Linked DNA regions of Struthio camelus. The protein of the gene in region 2 interacts with the protein of the main gene of each other region in a biochemical or structural test. Links are inferred from orthologs where the notes say so. Each region holds a gene or a part of one and is shown on either strand. Other genes may lie near its edges.

Region 1 (7,628 bases), on a different chromosome or scaffold from region 2:
GCCATTGTGCACCGCTAGCCGGAGCGGCGCGGCAGCCCCGACGGACGGCTTGCCGCTCCCCCTGCCAGGGCCCTGCAAAACGGGGACGGCGCCGGAGCAGGGGATGGGGTGAAGGAGCCCAGGCTGCACCAGCAGGCCCGAGCGGGGATCGGGACGCCCCGCCGGTGGGGCGACAGTCAGCGATGCGTCTCCGTGGGCGCCCGCAGGCCGGCCGCGGCACTTCCACCATCGTCCCCAGCCGCTGCTGAAGGTCCCCACGGGAGTCAGAGCTGCTTTGCAGCCCCGCTGGATCGTGCCGGGCTCCCACAGCGCCGGAGCAGCCGACTTCCTGCCGCCCTGGCCGAGCCGGCTGCGAGCCAAACCTTCGGGGGGGTATCGCCCTCTGCTAGGGTTGCATATATATAATACGTGCATGCATATGGGGTTGTAGTCCACATATATAGAAGGGCAGCTCTGAGCCAGCAGGCGGGAGCAGTCGGTGCCCCCCTCCAAGTCCTCGGTCCTGGAGGCAGGGGATGAAAAGCAGTCGCTGTGATTTAAAGAGGAGGGGGGAAACAAAGCCGGCTTCTGCATCGGTGGGGAAACGAAGCCTCAGCCCCGACGCTCAGCGACCGGAAAGCCACCAGGGCCCCGCCACGGCCCCGTGCCCGGGGGCTCCCACCTCCTGACACTCTGCAAACCAAAGGCAGCGCCGACGGCGGTGCCCAGCCCCGCAAGACGGGTGACAGAGGCTCGTGCCCCAGGGGCGCTCAGCACCCAAGCAGCCTCGGCCGGCTCTCCGGCGCTGCCCCAGCACCGGGGTGCCCTTTGTGCCTGGAAAGAAGTGGCCAGATCTGCCCGGACCGAGCCAAGCATGTCAGGTGCTGCCTTGTTTTGAAAGCTCTGCCGGGAAGTCACCCATGGGACGGGACGGGACGGCCGTGGCATCACGGGGCTGGCGCCGGCCGCCTCTCCGCCCCGCTTGCCTCGGCTAGCACTGCGTTTCGCGCCCCGCTGGCGGCAGCCGGACCCGGGGGGCCGGCGCTCACCTCGGGCCCGGCCCCCAGCCGCGCCGCCGGGACGGACCACCGATGGGCGCCTGCCTCTTTGCAGCCCCTTTGGCGGGCCGACGCGGCTGCCAGCGCTTGCAAGCGGCTCCGCGGGGGGAGGCCCAGCGCCACGGCTCGCAGAGGCCCCAAGCGCGCCCGCTGCCCGGCCCCATCGCCTCCCAGCCAGCTCTAGGGAGAGAGAAATAGAGAGAGAGGGGTGGGGGGCACATGCCCCTGCCCGCTGCGCCGCCCGCATCGGGCGCTAGGGATGCGATGGGTGCAGCAGCGGGCTCTGCTTAAAAACAAGCAGCCCTCCACCGCTCTCGGCCCCCGTCTTTCCGCGAGGGCACCGCGGCCACGCACACTTCATCCCGCGCCAAGCGGCGGGCATCGCCCTGCAGACGCCTCTCCGCGGACGAAACGTCTCACCGCGGTGTCACACCGAGCAATTGCCCTTGCGCAAAGTCCCCGGGTCACTGCAGCAACCAGAATTACCTCCCGCTGCCCCCCAGCCTGCAAACGTGTGCTCCGAGCACCGACGTCACCCCCCCCCCGCCAAAATTCCCCATTTCTGGCCCAGTTTCCCCTCTCCAGGCCGGACAAAGCGCCTTCTGCACGCCGACGGCCTCAGCGGTGGGAGTCGAGCGGCGCCCGCCGGGGCGCGAAGCGACGGCCGCGTCTGTCCATCCGTCTGTCCGTCCCCCCCGGCGCCCCTCTCCGGTTACAGCCGTTTGCCGCCACCGCGGAATAAACAACGAGGGATATTAATAACGACAGCCCTTCGCCCAGGGGCGGAAATCAAATTCCTCGCCAGCTTGGCGGCGACGTCGGGGCTGCCGAGGGCGGGAGGCGCCGGGTCGGGCTTCGCCCTGGACCCCCGCGAGCTGCTGCGCGAGGCCGGAGGGTCGACACTGATTTGAGCTGGAAAAAAAACCCACAGGGCCTGGGGGCAAGGTCTCGGAGAGACGCCTCGGGGTCTCTCCTCGCCTCGGCGCCAGCAGACCCCCCGCGGGCGCCCGTCCCTGCCCCGAAGCCTTTCCCGGGCGCTGCCGGGCTCCGCTGCTCGGACCGCCGGCTTTTAGCCCGGCTGCCTTAAAGAAAAGCAAAAAAAACCCACCCCAATAACAACAACCATAAAAAAAAAGGGGGCAGTTTGTGCACGTGCGTCCGCCTGCCGGGGCCCTGCCGACCGCCTCGGAGCACGTTGGCCGATTTGCCACCGAACCCGCAGGGTCTCGGAGCACCACGAACCGCGAGAAGGGAAGGCACCGGGGCAGGGGGCCGCGGCCGGAGGTTTCTTTTTCGAAACGATCAGAAAGGCACACGGCTTTTATTGCATTTCACTTAGGAACAGTCAAGGCAGTTTGCAAAGGATTTTTAAAATCCCAGGAGCAACTAGCAAAGAGTACCAGAAGCCTTGCTGGTTTTGATTTTTTTTTTAATTTGCCTGTCACAAACCTTCCCCGCTGAAGAGCTTTTGCGCATGCTGCTACCTCTCCTTTTGTGCTTTACATTTTTAACTTTTTTTTTTTTAAATAAAAGCCTGAAACTTAAGTTCAATTTTCTCTAGTCTAAAGCTCAGCTCCTAACTCCAGATTTAGATCCTTTGTTGTGGGATTGTCAAAAGCGTATAAGCCAGAGTTTCTATTCAATTTGTGACTGGGATTTTTCATAGCAGTTGGGGGAACGTGGTGCAGTCCTGCAACTGAGACAATGCCGAGCCCTGGACTTCCTTAAAACAAAACAAACAAACCAACCACCATGAGATCCCAAATTATGTATATTCCTTGGAAAAAAAATGTTCCAATGCAAAAAGGGGACTAATTTCTGGAGTATTTGCCTACCGAGAGAGCTGATCTTGGCTCCTATTCCAAATTGACCCAATTCATTTCCAAAAGGGATCCAACGAATTGGGAATCAGGCCCTTTCACTCGGCAATAAGCGTGTGCACTCCAAGGAGCTGCATGAAACTCAGCTCCTCTCAGAGCTGCAGTCCCAGCCCGGCGCTGGGACCAGCCCACCGCACGCTTAAACCCCAGGAGAGCCTTGCTTTAGCAGCTCCAAATATCCCACCCCGCACCAGTCCATGCGGGGACTCACTTTTCCACACTGGGACTCACTTTTCCACATCAGCTTATTCCTGCAGCTTTGCAGAAAATCTGCGGCTTTGCAGAAAATGCCTCAAAACCCCTTCCAAATCCGGTCAGCCTCGGGGGCCCTAAAGATGCAGAAGCTGCCTCAGTGTCCAGGGGAAAACAGGCTGCCGGGGGCATCGCTAACCTCACCGGGGCCAGCAAAAGGAGATGCCGCGCACGCTCGCCTGCTTGGCGGTGGCGCAGGCCGCGCTGCGCTGGGCCGGCACCGCCGTTGCCTTGCCTTGGCCAGTGCTTTCGCCCATAGGGAGCCAAACATAAGGCTGGTTCTGCCACGCTGAGCAAGCCCACCCCAAGTGAGTCCACCCCGAGCACGCCCATGCTGAGCGAGCCCACCGGCTGCTGTTCACATCAAGTGAGTCCTCGGGGTGCTGCACAGACCAAGCGAACCTGCCCTGAGCAAGCCCACTGCGCGCTGCTCACCCCGAACGAGCCCGTGCTGAGCGAGCCCACTCCAGGTGAGCCCACCAAGCGCTGCTCATGGCAAGCGAGGCCACCCCAAGCGAACCTCCTGGGCGCTGCTCGTGCTGAGCGAGACAACCCCAAGGGAGCCCACCACGTGCTGCTCACAACAAGTGAGCCCACCCTGAGCGAGCCCACTGGCTACTGCACAGACCAAGCGAGCCCACCCTGAGCGAGCCCACCGCGTGCTGCTCACAGCAGGCAAGGCCACCTCAAGCGAGCCTCCTGGGTGCTGCTCCTGCCGAGCGAGCCCACCCCAAGGAAGCCCACCCAGTGCTGCTCAAATCAAGTGAGCCCACCTTGAGCAAGCCCACCCCGAGCGAGCCCACCCCGAGCGAGCCCACTGGGCACTGCTCATACCGGGTGAGCCCACCCTGAGGGAGCCCACCAAGTGCTGCTCACATCAGGCAAGCCCACCAGGCACTGCTCATGCCATGTGAGCCCACCAGGCGCTATTCACACCAAGCAAGCCCACCCCAAGGGAGCCCACCAAGTGCTGCCCACCCCGAGGGAGCCCACCAGCTGCTGCTCACATCAGGCGAGCCCACCCCGAGCAAGCCCACCGGGCGCTGCCCACATCATGTGAGCCCACCAAGCGCTGCCCACATCAGGCGAGCCCACCCGGAGGGAGCTCACCGGGCGCTGCCCGCCCACCGGCCAAGGCCCCCCCCGGCCCCCCCGCAGCCCTTTGAACCGACCTATCGCTCCCGGCCTCGGCGCCGCCCGCACCTCCCCCGGCCGTGATGCAGCCCGGCTCCTCCTCTCCCCTCTCCGCAAGGGCTGGAAGCTCCCCTTAGCCTGTTTGCCCTTATTTAATTTCGAGTGTGATTTTGCTATTTTTAGCAGCTGGATCCCCTCCAGTAAGGCTTGGAGCTCGCTCTTTTTTTTTTTTTTAATCCCCCCCCCTCTCTCCCTTCCTTTTTTTTTTTTTTTTTTTTCTCTCCGCTCCCTGCAAATGATTTTGACCCAGCTTCCTTCCTCCTGGAGCAATTTTTTTTTTTTATTATTTATATAAATAAGAGGGGGCCTGGCTGGGCTGTGGATGCGTGTGCGAGTCGCTGCCTCCCTCTCTGCCTTCTCCTTTCAGATCCGCATTTGCAACCAGCAGCAGCCAGGAGGGGGGTTGTTTTAATTCGCTCACAACACAGACACGCCAGGAGAAAAAAAAAAACAAAAAAAATCAAAAAAATCAAAAAAAAAAACCACCCCAAGCACCCAGCTCCGAGACCAAGCTGACTGTGAGTGCCGGCCTTCTCCTTTCCTTTCTCCTCCGGGGGGTGCGCAGGGAGGGCCGGGGCCGCCGGGGGGAGAGGGGGGGCTGGTTTGGGGAAGGGGCTCCCGGCACCCTCGGCATGCGGGGCGCAGTTGCCCCCGATCTTCTCTCCCTTTGCAAGGTCGCGTGTGCGTGCGTGCGGCGGGCCGGCTCGGCAATGCCCCTTCCCCCCCCCCCCCCGCTTCGTAATAATAATAATTATTGCTAAGGGCCGTGCACCTGATGGGCCCGGGGCGCCGCGCTGCCGCAGCCGCGCTGCCGGCTGCCAGCGGCGCCGCCGGACTTTTCCGCCACTTACTCGTTTTCGGGCGATGCGGCGCCGCGCTGGGGCTGCCCGCAAGCGCCCCGGCCCCGCGTGGGGGGCGGCCGCGGGCCGGGCTCGCGGCGGGCGTGGGGCCGGGAACCGTGCGTGGCGCCGCGTCCGGGGCCCGTGCAAGGTGCGTGGGGCCGGGAGCCGTGCATAGGGGCCAGGGCCTGTGCAAGGTGCGCGGGGCCGGGAATCCGTGCGTGGGGCCAGGCCCGGGGCCCGTGCAAAGTGCGTGGCGCCGGGAACCGTGCATGGGGCCACGGCCTGTGCAAGGTGCGTGGGGCCGGGGTAGGGGCGAGAGGCTGGGGTAGGGGGTGTGGAGCCAGGCCCGGGGCCCGTGCAAGGTGCGTGGGGGTCAGGGTAGGGTGGGTGGGGCCAGGTCCGGGCCCCGTGCAAGGTGCGTGGGGCCTGGATAGGGGGTGTGGGGCCAGGCCCGGGGCCCGTGCAAGGTGCGTGGGGATCAGGGTAGGGGATGTGGGGCCAGGCCCGGGGCCCGTGCAAGGTGCGTGGGGATCAGGGTAGGGGATGTGGGGCCAGGCCCGGGGCCCGTGCAAGGTGCGTGGGGGTCAGGGTAGGGTGCGTGGGGCCAGGTCCAGGCCCCGTGCAAGGTGTGTGGGGCCGGAGTAGGGTGCACGGGGCCCGGCCCCACGCGAGGTGCAAGGTGCGTGGGACTGGACCCACGCAGGGTGCTGGCCCGGTGGCAGCGCCGCAGGCCGGGCCCGGCTCGGGCAGGGACGCCCTTGGCTGGGGGGAGGAGGGGGGCAGCTCGGCCCCCCCGCACGCCGGGCCCGGCTGCGTGTGCAGCACCGAGCACGCCAACCTGCAACCCCCAACCGGGGAAGGCACCCCGGGGCGGGGGGGGGAAGGCACCACCAAAGGTTTTATTATACCCCGCAGGACCGGCTCTTCACAAAGCTTGGGATGTTGCCCTTCCTGCCTCTTTTCTTTCTGTCCCCCCTTCCCCACCTCCCTCCTTCCTTTCTTTTATCACTTCCTTTTATTATGCATGCCCAGGAAGGAAGGGGGGGGGGAGGTGCGCTCTCCTTAATAGCAGGGCCTGGGGGGGAGCGGGGGGGGGGGGGGTCTTCAAAGCAGCCCTGCCGAGGGCCTGTCCTAACGAGGGGCCGAGCACATCCCTCCCCTGCCCAACAGGCTCTTCAACTTCTTCCCGTCTCTTCCCTGGCCCGGCTCCTCGCCCCGCCGGGAGGTGCGGCCCGCATCCTCGGCCAGCTGCACGCAGGCTGGCTTTCCTGGGCGCGAAGAGGCTTTTTGAGATCTAAAGCCACCGCCTGTCTCCCTTGTTCTCCTGGGCTGGTTTGTTTAATCTAAGAGTAGGTGGCGGGAGCAGGGATTTATGGGGCTATTTGCACGCAGCGGCGTAAGGCAGCGCGGGCGGCTGGGGGAAGGACGCGGCAGGCCGGGGGCAGCCGGCAGCCTCGCTCCCAGGGGCCAGGTTGCCTCTTTTGCAACCTAATGGCATCTCGCCTAAGAGGTGGTTCCCGGCTGCTGAGAACGCCCAAGCTCGTGTCTGGGAGCAGGGAGAGACGGTGGGACTGGTGGAGGGGGGAGAAGTATTGCACGGAGGATAATTATCTGCAGGGATGGAGGGGGAAGGAGTTTTGCATCCTCCAACTCCATCGATCCGAAGGAAGATGGAGCCCCTCCACCTCCAAACCTGGCTGTGCAAGGATTTCTCCCTCCTCGCCCCTGGGCCTCGCCGCCCGTGCCCTCATCTCCCATCCTGCCCGAGCCGCCCATCCCCTGCCCTCGCCTCCTATGGATCCGTCCCCCTGGGGAAGGGTTTTCTCTCTCCAGCTACTTCCTCTCCTCCATGGCAACCCAGCTGCTCCCGCAGATACGGGTTTCACGGGCGCGAGCGCGGCCGGAGCTCCTTCCTGCGGCGCGCCGAGCATCGCGCCGGAGCTCGGACCGCTGCCACCCGCCAGGGCAGGATGCGCTCCCGGCAGACGGCTGCTGCCGGGGCCAGGAGCGTCTGCCTGCTCAGCACCATCCCCATCTCCCGCCTGGCTGCAGCACCACCCTATGTCACCCTGCGAGGGCAGGGTGGGAGCTGTCAGTCCTTCCGGGTGCTTTTAAGCCCCGGGGTCCCTCGGGAGACCTCGGCCCGGCCACGCGGTTTTGCAGCAAGGTGGCGGAGGGGACCGGCCCGACACATGTGCTGTTTCCCACGGCACCGGCAGCTTCGCCGTGCGCCGCTGGTGCCTCGAGCTCTCGGCGTGGGGGACGCCCCCGCTCCGGGCATCTCCCGGTCGGGGCCGCGGCGCTGTGCCATGCTGACGCCGGCGGCTCGGGAGCGGGACGGGAGCCCCGACTTCATGCTGTAGCGGGGCCGGGGCAGAGGAGCGAGCGCCGTGAGAGAGACATTGGGCCCATCTGTTTGCAGC
Region 2 (7,651 bases):
CCAACCTGATTATTATAACTAGCCGGTAGTTGTTTCAGGTTAAGTTGAAAGATTTGGATTTTCAAGTTTCAAAGTGCATTCTGCTTCTTGATTTCAAGGAAGGGCAAGGGCTTTGATGCCTTTTAGAAATTTGGCCCTGAGTTTTCCAGGGGCAGAAATTACTAGCTACTGAAAGGAGGAAGCATCCTGTGAAGGGAGTATGTGGCAATATAGCTGAAGGTTGTATCGTTATGTCAGGGTGTCAGTTAAGGCTGCATAAGAAATCTTAATTCTGCCTGTAACTTCTGACTGCTTGGCTGTGCAACTGTCCTGTGGCTGTAACACGGTTTACAATGCCATTTCCTAAAAGGTTACTAAAAAGAGGATTTTATTAAGGGTAACTACGTTGACTCCGATTTCTGCCTCAGTCCTCCCTGTACAGCTATTTCTAAATCACTTTTCAGCTACGCTGAGTATCACATAGTGCAGACTCAAGCAGAGTGAAATGATCGATATTGTAATGGACTTCTCGTCGTAGTACATGACAGAAATAATAAATGTCATGATATATGACAATCCTTGTAAAGCCCTATGGAGCCAAACGGGACGCAGAAAGCATCTATCTTCCACTTCCTACCCTTGTTTTGCCTCTCTGTGTCTGTTCTTTGTTTCCTCCCACATTTATTTCCTTGGTAATGGAAAACTGTAATTGAATTAAAAGCGACTCTGTCCGCGCAAGGGCTGCCGTGGCTGCGCCGTTCGCCTTCGACAGGACGGGGTGGAGGCCTGCGAGCGCGGGCTGCCCTGCGAGCTGCCGAGTGCTGCGCCCAGCAGGTTTCCAGCTGGTTTGCACAAGCAGTCGGGTACCGCCGTTGGCACTACATCAGGTAAGCGCACGTGCAAACGGCTGCAGCCTCTTTTGCTGTCGCTGTGCGTTATTCACCCGTCCACTCCAGTCTGTTTGCCATTGAGATCGGGCCAAAACTACGTTTTAAATTTTGATACCGGTTCCGATTTTCAAGCCAAATCAAACAAACGTCTTATCTGTGTCAGTACAGCTCCTCTTGGCTGAAACAGCTGATCAAATAGTGATGCCTGTGCTCTGCCAGTGATACCAGCTGCCACACTCGATGAGCTTTTCTGCCTCTGCTGCTTCGCAGATGCCTGCACCTTCCCTATCCGGGACTGCCAAACTGCCACTCTTCCTACGTTAAAGTCCACCCTTAGAATTAATTGCTTCTAAAAGATAATAAGAAATGAACCAAACTAAAGGTCAGAAAATGAAATAAGCACTGTTCCCTCTCTCGTTTCCTAAGGAGATTTTAAGAGGAGTAAATTGGAAGGATTGTCCGTGATGCTTTTGTGATCGCTCTGTTCTTATCCCGAAAACTGACTCGGGTGTGCTGTTTGAGCCACGTTCAGCTGAATGCCAGAGGTCTCAGATTCCTGCAAGTTCCATACAAACGGCTGGCTGAGCACAGGTGAGGGAAACGGTCTTTTTTTGGACCTGCAGAAAAAAGTGAGTTCATCTCTAGACACTAGAGAAACCACACAGTACAGAGTGGTTTGAAGTGCCCTAATCAGGAAGTTTCTGGGGGAGATGCCACCTTATCAGACACCAGCTGGGAAACACAAGTCCCTAGGAAAGCAACCTGCATCAGTTCTTCTGTCCACAGACAGCTTGTTCTGTTTATCTTTTGATACTTGGGCCCTTTTTAAGATTAGAGTTTTTCCGTACCGTCGTGAGGGCTGTCTCTCTGTTTGGAATTCACCTCCTGGCTTTAATCTCAGGATGCTGATAATGGGAGCTTTACGCCCAAAATTATTACTCCTAGTAAAAACTCAAGAGTGGCAACACTGCATCTTCGGCGTGGCAGTTCTTCAGTCTGCTGTGCCATGGTAGCAGAGGCCACGAAGAAGGCTACTTCCTTCTAATACCAAGCCACGAACTTAGAAATGACAGGGAAAAGACTGTATTGTCCTTGAAATCTTTCTCCACCTCCCTGAGGATTTATGCTCCTTCAACACCTTTTCTTTGGCTTTGTTACCAATTTAAAGAAACTGTGCCTCCTCGTGGAGAACCTTCCCTGTTTTCATTCACCATCTATCTCCTAATGAACGCTTAAACAAAATTATAAGATTAGACACAACTGTGGACTGCCCTTATCTTACATTCATACAGAGCAAAGCATCTCCCTGGTGTTTATGTTTTCAAACACTTGTCTTCATCCTTTCCCTCCTGATGTTAAAAATGTCTCTCAAGCTCTTAAATTTGGCATTGTAATAGAAAACAGATGCAAACCTAACTAATTAAGTCTTACTTGTACCAAACTTAACTAATTAAGTCTTACTTGTACCAGATCAGTGATATGTTAGATAATTCTGCATTTCCATGTCCGTGTAATGAGATATGTTGATCGGGCGCACTTACGTTCTCTTAACTGTTACCTGCAGTTGCCTCAGGAGCGTTCATGGTGTGTCCCGTGGCACATTCAGAGGCGAACACTGTTGCACGTGGCAAACGCGACTGTAGGGTACAATGAGCTGCGTGGGCCAGTGAACTCTTAGGAAACAAAGATGCAGCAGGGAAGGAAAAACTACTTGTGAAAAAGAATACATCAAGAGGAACGCAGAATATGGGCCGAAGCAAAATGCAGTGCCCCACACCTGTTATAGAAGTGTCCATGCTCCTGTCACCTCTTCCCTGTTCCCAGCATGAGTTCCCCATTAACAGATGCATCTGGCTTAAAGTCTTTGCCCTGATACAGTTCTTTTTTTTCTGACACGAACTTAGTGTCTGGAGAGATGATTCTGGTCCCATACCCACAATATCCACATACATGTTCCACTGGAACAATAAACCTGTTATGCAACTCAGGAATGCTCACAGAGCTTTCGTAGGAGCTGAAACCAGGCTCAAAACAGGGCAAAACTTTGTTTTGACTTGACATCCACCAGTGTGTTATTTCTCTGTCTATATATGATGCACAGTTTGCAAATTAACCAATGTTTCTACTGTAGGATGCAAAAGAAGAAAGAGAAATAAAAATGACTGTTAGTTTCTCTGGTTTTGCTTAAAAGCCCTTAATTGTCACATCCTACAACTGTGCCACCATGTATTTAAATAAAGAGTAAGAGCTGGTAGGAAATTGAGAAGAGAAACAGAAAAAAAACCCCATAATTTTTACTTGTATCAGCATTTCCAAATCAGCTGTAGCTAGCATTTGTTAGTTACTGCACCGTAGCAAACTAGCCCTCCCTTAACGTGACTTGGGGGTGCTGCGTTGAGCAGGGTGTTGGACCAGATGATGCCAGAGGTCTCTTCCCAACTAAACCATTCTGATTCTAGAAGAGGGTGCTCACAGTGACCTCCCAGGGCCCAAATCTCCCATCCTCAGTCACAGGGTAAAAAGCACGACTATCTACGCTTGTACCTTTTTTTTTTTTCCACACAGAAGCTGATTTCATTCTTACTGTTATTTTAGTTATCCTGTGGCAATCCACCTGACAAAACCTTAGTTTCCCCAAGCAGTTTTAATGTTAACGTGACTGTCGGGGCCTTTATCCTGGGAAGCCTGTGGCTTAAGTAACCTCACATTTGGAAAACAAATTGTATTCTGCACCAGAATATGAGACCTTGCATCCCAAAATAAGCTGACTGCGTACGTGCTGTAGATATATACCGTTTTTCAAAGAGGGGGCGAGCTTTGCGGGAGGCTAAGGAAGAAGGTGAACGCCACATTTTGGCATGTAAGCGCCGCTGTAAAATAACCATGTCGATTCTTCGTTGTTTCGTTTTCTGCCTTTATGAATACTGCTGTTATGTATTACACGTTTCAGTCACTGCAGACACCCGGGCGATGTGAGGCTATATGCTTTTATCCCATCAAATGCCGGCCCCGGCGGAGCTCCCCGCACACTGCCGCCGCCGCCTGGCCCCGGCTGCGCGGCCGGCGCGCGGCAGCCCCCGCCTACGCGGGTACGAAGGCCGGCAGGGAGCTACGCGAGCCACCGCGCGGCTGCCTCGTTGGCGACGGCAGGTTTCGTTCGCAGGCCAACGCCTCACCCGCCGGCCGCCTCGGCCCCGCCACCATTTTGTGACCGCCGCAGCCCCCCGCCCAGCCCGCCCGCCGGCCGCGCGCGCGGGCGCCCGCCCCCCCCTCCCCCCAACGCCGCGCGGCGCCTGCGCAGTGGGGCGGCGGCGGCGGCGGGGAGGGGCGGGGCGCGGCGCGGCGCTCTCGCGAGAGCGCGCGGGCTATATCTGGGAGTGGGCGGGCGCGCGGCTTCCTTTAGTGCGCGTCCGCCCGCAGCACCGCATCCCGCCCCCGCGCCTCCCGCCCGAGCAGGCCCGAGAAGATGGAGGACAGCGCCATGGACATGGAGAGCATGGGCCCCCTGCGCCCGCAGACCTTTCTCTTCGGTAACGGCCCCCGCGGCGCCCCGCTCTCCCCTCCTCGCCCGGCCCCGGCCCCTGACGGCCGCCATCCGCTCCCTTAGGCCTCCGCTCCCCGCCTGGGCCGGGTGGGCGGCGGCGGCGGGGGGAGGGGGGGCGGGCTGGCAGCGGCGGCGAGGCCCGATGGGAGCCGCGGGCCTGCTGCGGCCCTCGGCGGTCGCCGCGGGGGGGGGGGGGAAACACCGTGGGGGGGGCGCCGGCCTCGGTGGGCCGCGCGCCGGCGTCCGTTGGCCGCGCGTCCGTTAGCCGCGCGCCGGCGTCCGTTAGCCGCGCGTTCGGCCGGCGCGCGCGCCCCACGTGGCGGGCCGCTGGCACGTGGCGGCGGCGGCCTGGCGGGGGCTGGCTTTTGTTGGCCCGCGCCCCCGCCGCCCGGCCCGGTCGCCGCTCGCCCGGCCGCTCGTCCCTTTCGGGACGCGGGCACGTTGCGTTGCGGGCGGCGCGGAGCCGGCGGGCGGCCCGAGCACATGGCGGCGCGGCGGGAGGTGGAGCACGTGGAGGGCGGCGGGCCGCCTTGCCCGCTGCCGGCCCGAGGGGAAGCCGGCCGACCCGCCCGCCCCACGCCTCGCCTCGCCGGGGGTGGCACATGGCCGGCGGCAGCGCGGGCAGTGCGCAGCGGCGCTGGAAGCCGCTGGTTTTGTAGCGGCTGGTCTTGGACGAAGTGTAATGGCTGACGCTGCGGGTAGGAGCTGCGTGGTAGGCCATGGGCCGGGACTCGCCTGGGGTTTTCCCCTCCCTACGCGTTTCTCTTGAGTTTCTTTGCACGCATGCAGTGGGGTTGGTTTTCTATGCAAATGCAGCACCATAAAGCAGAAAGCATTACACTTCTAAGTAACAAGTGGCTAGCAAGTACCTGTTCCTGAAAACAATAGTTTGCTTGCAACTTAATGATTTTTTTTTTTTACAGGCTGTGAGCTTAAAGCAGACAAGGAGTATCAGTTCAAGGTAGATGATGAAGAAAATGAGCATCAGTTATCTTTGAGAACGGCAAGTATTATCTACTTTTTAAGGTGCAAGCTTGAATTTTGTTTTTTGAGTAATAATATGCTACGTTATGAAAAGTGAGCTTTTGTAACATGTAAATTTGTTCCTTAAACATCTGTTCTGTCTGGCATTTGCAAGTGTTTTGAGTCAGTTTGCTAGATAACCTCTTATTAGGAACTGAACATCCCGTTTTACCTTGAAAATTCTCTATTGTTGTTTCATGGCTTATAGCAAGTGACACCAGGTTTTAAAAAAAAAGTTCTTTAAAAAAAATGAGTTCACAATAGGTCAGTAAATTTGCTAAAAGGGATGAGGGCAGGCCTATGTCTTCTGGTATCTCTGGTGCAACGGTTTAGATGCTGCAGGAGCAAAAGCAGGGATTGGATTTATATTTTTCACAGATGGGTGCGGACTGGGGAAACTTTACTTTGAAAACTTTTTCTTTGTGTTCCCCAAGCATTATAATACCAGTGCCTTTTTCCCCCAATCAGCAGCTAATGTTGCATCTAATTTGGAGGGGAAAAGGCTTTTATGTTCTGATACGTTTTTTGGTAGTGTTGTCCTCTTTTTAAGGATGTTATGGGAAACACTGTCTTTGATTCATACATTTAATCAGACAGAGCAGCTGCTCACTGAACAGGATACTCCTTGAAATCAAGGTGTGCATATTGAGAGTTCTTAAATATGTCCTTAGTTCTTTCTGCTGTCCCAGCAAGAAGGACACTGCACTTCTCTACTCTGGGCTAAGCATGCGACTTCTGTTTTGGTTAGCACAAACGTGACACAACTTCACAGGGAAGGGATTTAAACGTTGTCACATCTGTGTACTTTAGTCCAGCATTTAATAGCATGTGTATTTAATCACATTACATTGCAGTCGCATTTAATGTAGAGAGATGTCTTGATGACACTTCTAAATAAGTGAATTTTAGGATTCTAGAGTGCTTCCTACAGGAGTCCAGGATAACAATGGCTGCCTGAGTTAAAACTCATTCAAAGTAATACATAACACTTATGATGTTAATTTGAATATTGTAGTATTGTGTGAACTATGTTTATAGAGTCCTTGCAGTTTATGAAAAACACAATCTGGACTTGACGGTGACCACTTTGTACTTAATGGCCTTTTAGAATCTCTCTTGAGGGAAGAATACTGTAAAGTATGGGTAGGGCAAGTCGATGTGGATTGTTCTCATGCCTGCCTGTTTGTAGCACACATGAAATGAGCCACTGAATGATAACCTCAGTTGTGTGGGCTTATCCAAAGTTCCTAGTTTTGAAAATTACCGTCTCTTCCGGTTGCTGTGACCTCTTCATGGAGGATGAGGCAAATTGATGGACTTACAGCATCAGTACTTAGTTTTTGAGGTTGTGAGAGAAAAGGTCTAATTCAGAAAACTGCCTTTTAAAGTCAAAGGGAGGTAACCTGTCGGAGAGACAAGAAAGTTGAAATAACATGTGACAAACTGGGAATTTCTGAAAGGATTGGACATAGCTAGAAACAAAGAAAAATTGACATGGTAAGCAGAGCAAGGAGTTTTTGGAAGCTCAGGTATGAAGCTAGTGAATACTTGGTGACTGTGCTCTATGAACTTGATAAAACTAGATGAATAAAGATGCATACCTGTCAGTTACGCAAGTGTGGCAGGGGGCTTGGTATGAGATAGAAAAAAGGATAAAAGTGAAAGAGGAGGAGGATTGATGTATGTGGAGGTAGAAAGTGGCATGTGATGGTTTTCTTAAATGCCTGGTCTTAATGACAGCTGTGAACATGAAATGGTGACCATCCACTCTATTACCTCTTTATTGCTAGCATGGTGTTCGCTGTTATAAAAGTTCAAGCACGTGAATGGATACTTGCTAGACATGCTGCATTGGTCATTGCTAAATAAATGAATAGTACATATTGCTCGAGATCTTGTGCAAGTGATAGGAGTAATGGAGGGGGCAGAGGCAGTTTGGGCAAGTGTTCTTAGCTCCTGGGACTACCCACCAGGACAAGAAGTCGAAGTGGTGCAGCGTATGGTTGCTGACCCGTTTGAGAGAGGAGAGTAGCAATTTCACCTCTTACTCTTTCAATTCACGGTGACAAAACTTGCCAAGAGTAGGGAATCCCATCTCTTTCCCAGTATGCAGTTGAATGTGCCTTGTCCGGATCACTGAAGCTTGCCTAAAACATAGCTCTTGGGCAGAGAATGGGAACTTGATATCTCTGCTGCTGTCTCCCTGAAGTGTTCA

What was found.
Region 1: the proteins of NPM1 (region 2) and HMGA1 interact in far-western blotting, tested with the Homo sapiens proteins (2 studies listed by BioGRID). The link is inferred for Struthio camelus from reciprocal best matches to the Homo sapiens genes NPM1 and HMGA1.

Annotation. Positions count from the first base shown.
Region 1 is NC_090965.1:5,620,856-5,628,483, reverse strand, and holds the start of HMGA1 (high mobility group protein HMG-I/HMG-Y), read left to right. Parts: upstream 1-4,416; 5' UTR 4,417-4,503; exon of another isoform or gene 4,504-4,730; 5' UTR 4,731-4,881; intron 4,882-7,628. UniProt on the Homo sapiens protein: HMG-I/Y bind preferentially to the minor groove of A+T rich regions in double-stranded DNA. It is suggested that these proteins could function in nucleosome phasing and in the 3'-end processing of mRNA transcripts.
Region 2 is NC_090954.1:20,056,528-20,064,178, forward strand, and holds the start of NPM1 (nucleophosmin), read left to right. Parts: upstream 1-4,176; 5' UTR 4,177-4,335; coding exon 4,336-4,399; intron 4,400-5,336; coding exon 5,337-5,416; intron 5,417-7,651. UniProt on the Homo sapiens protein: Involved in diverse cellular processes such as ribosome biogenesis, centrosome duplication, protein chaperoning, histone assembly, cell proliferation, and regulation of tumor suppressors p53/TP53 and ARF.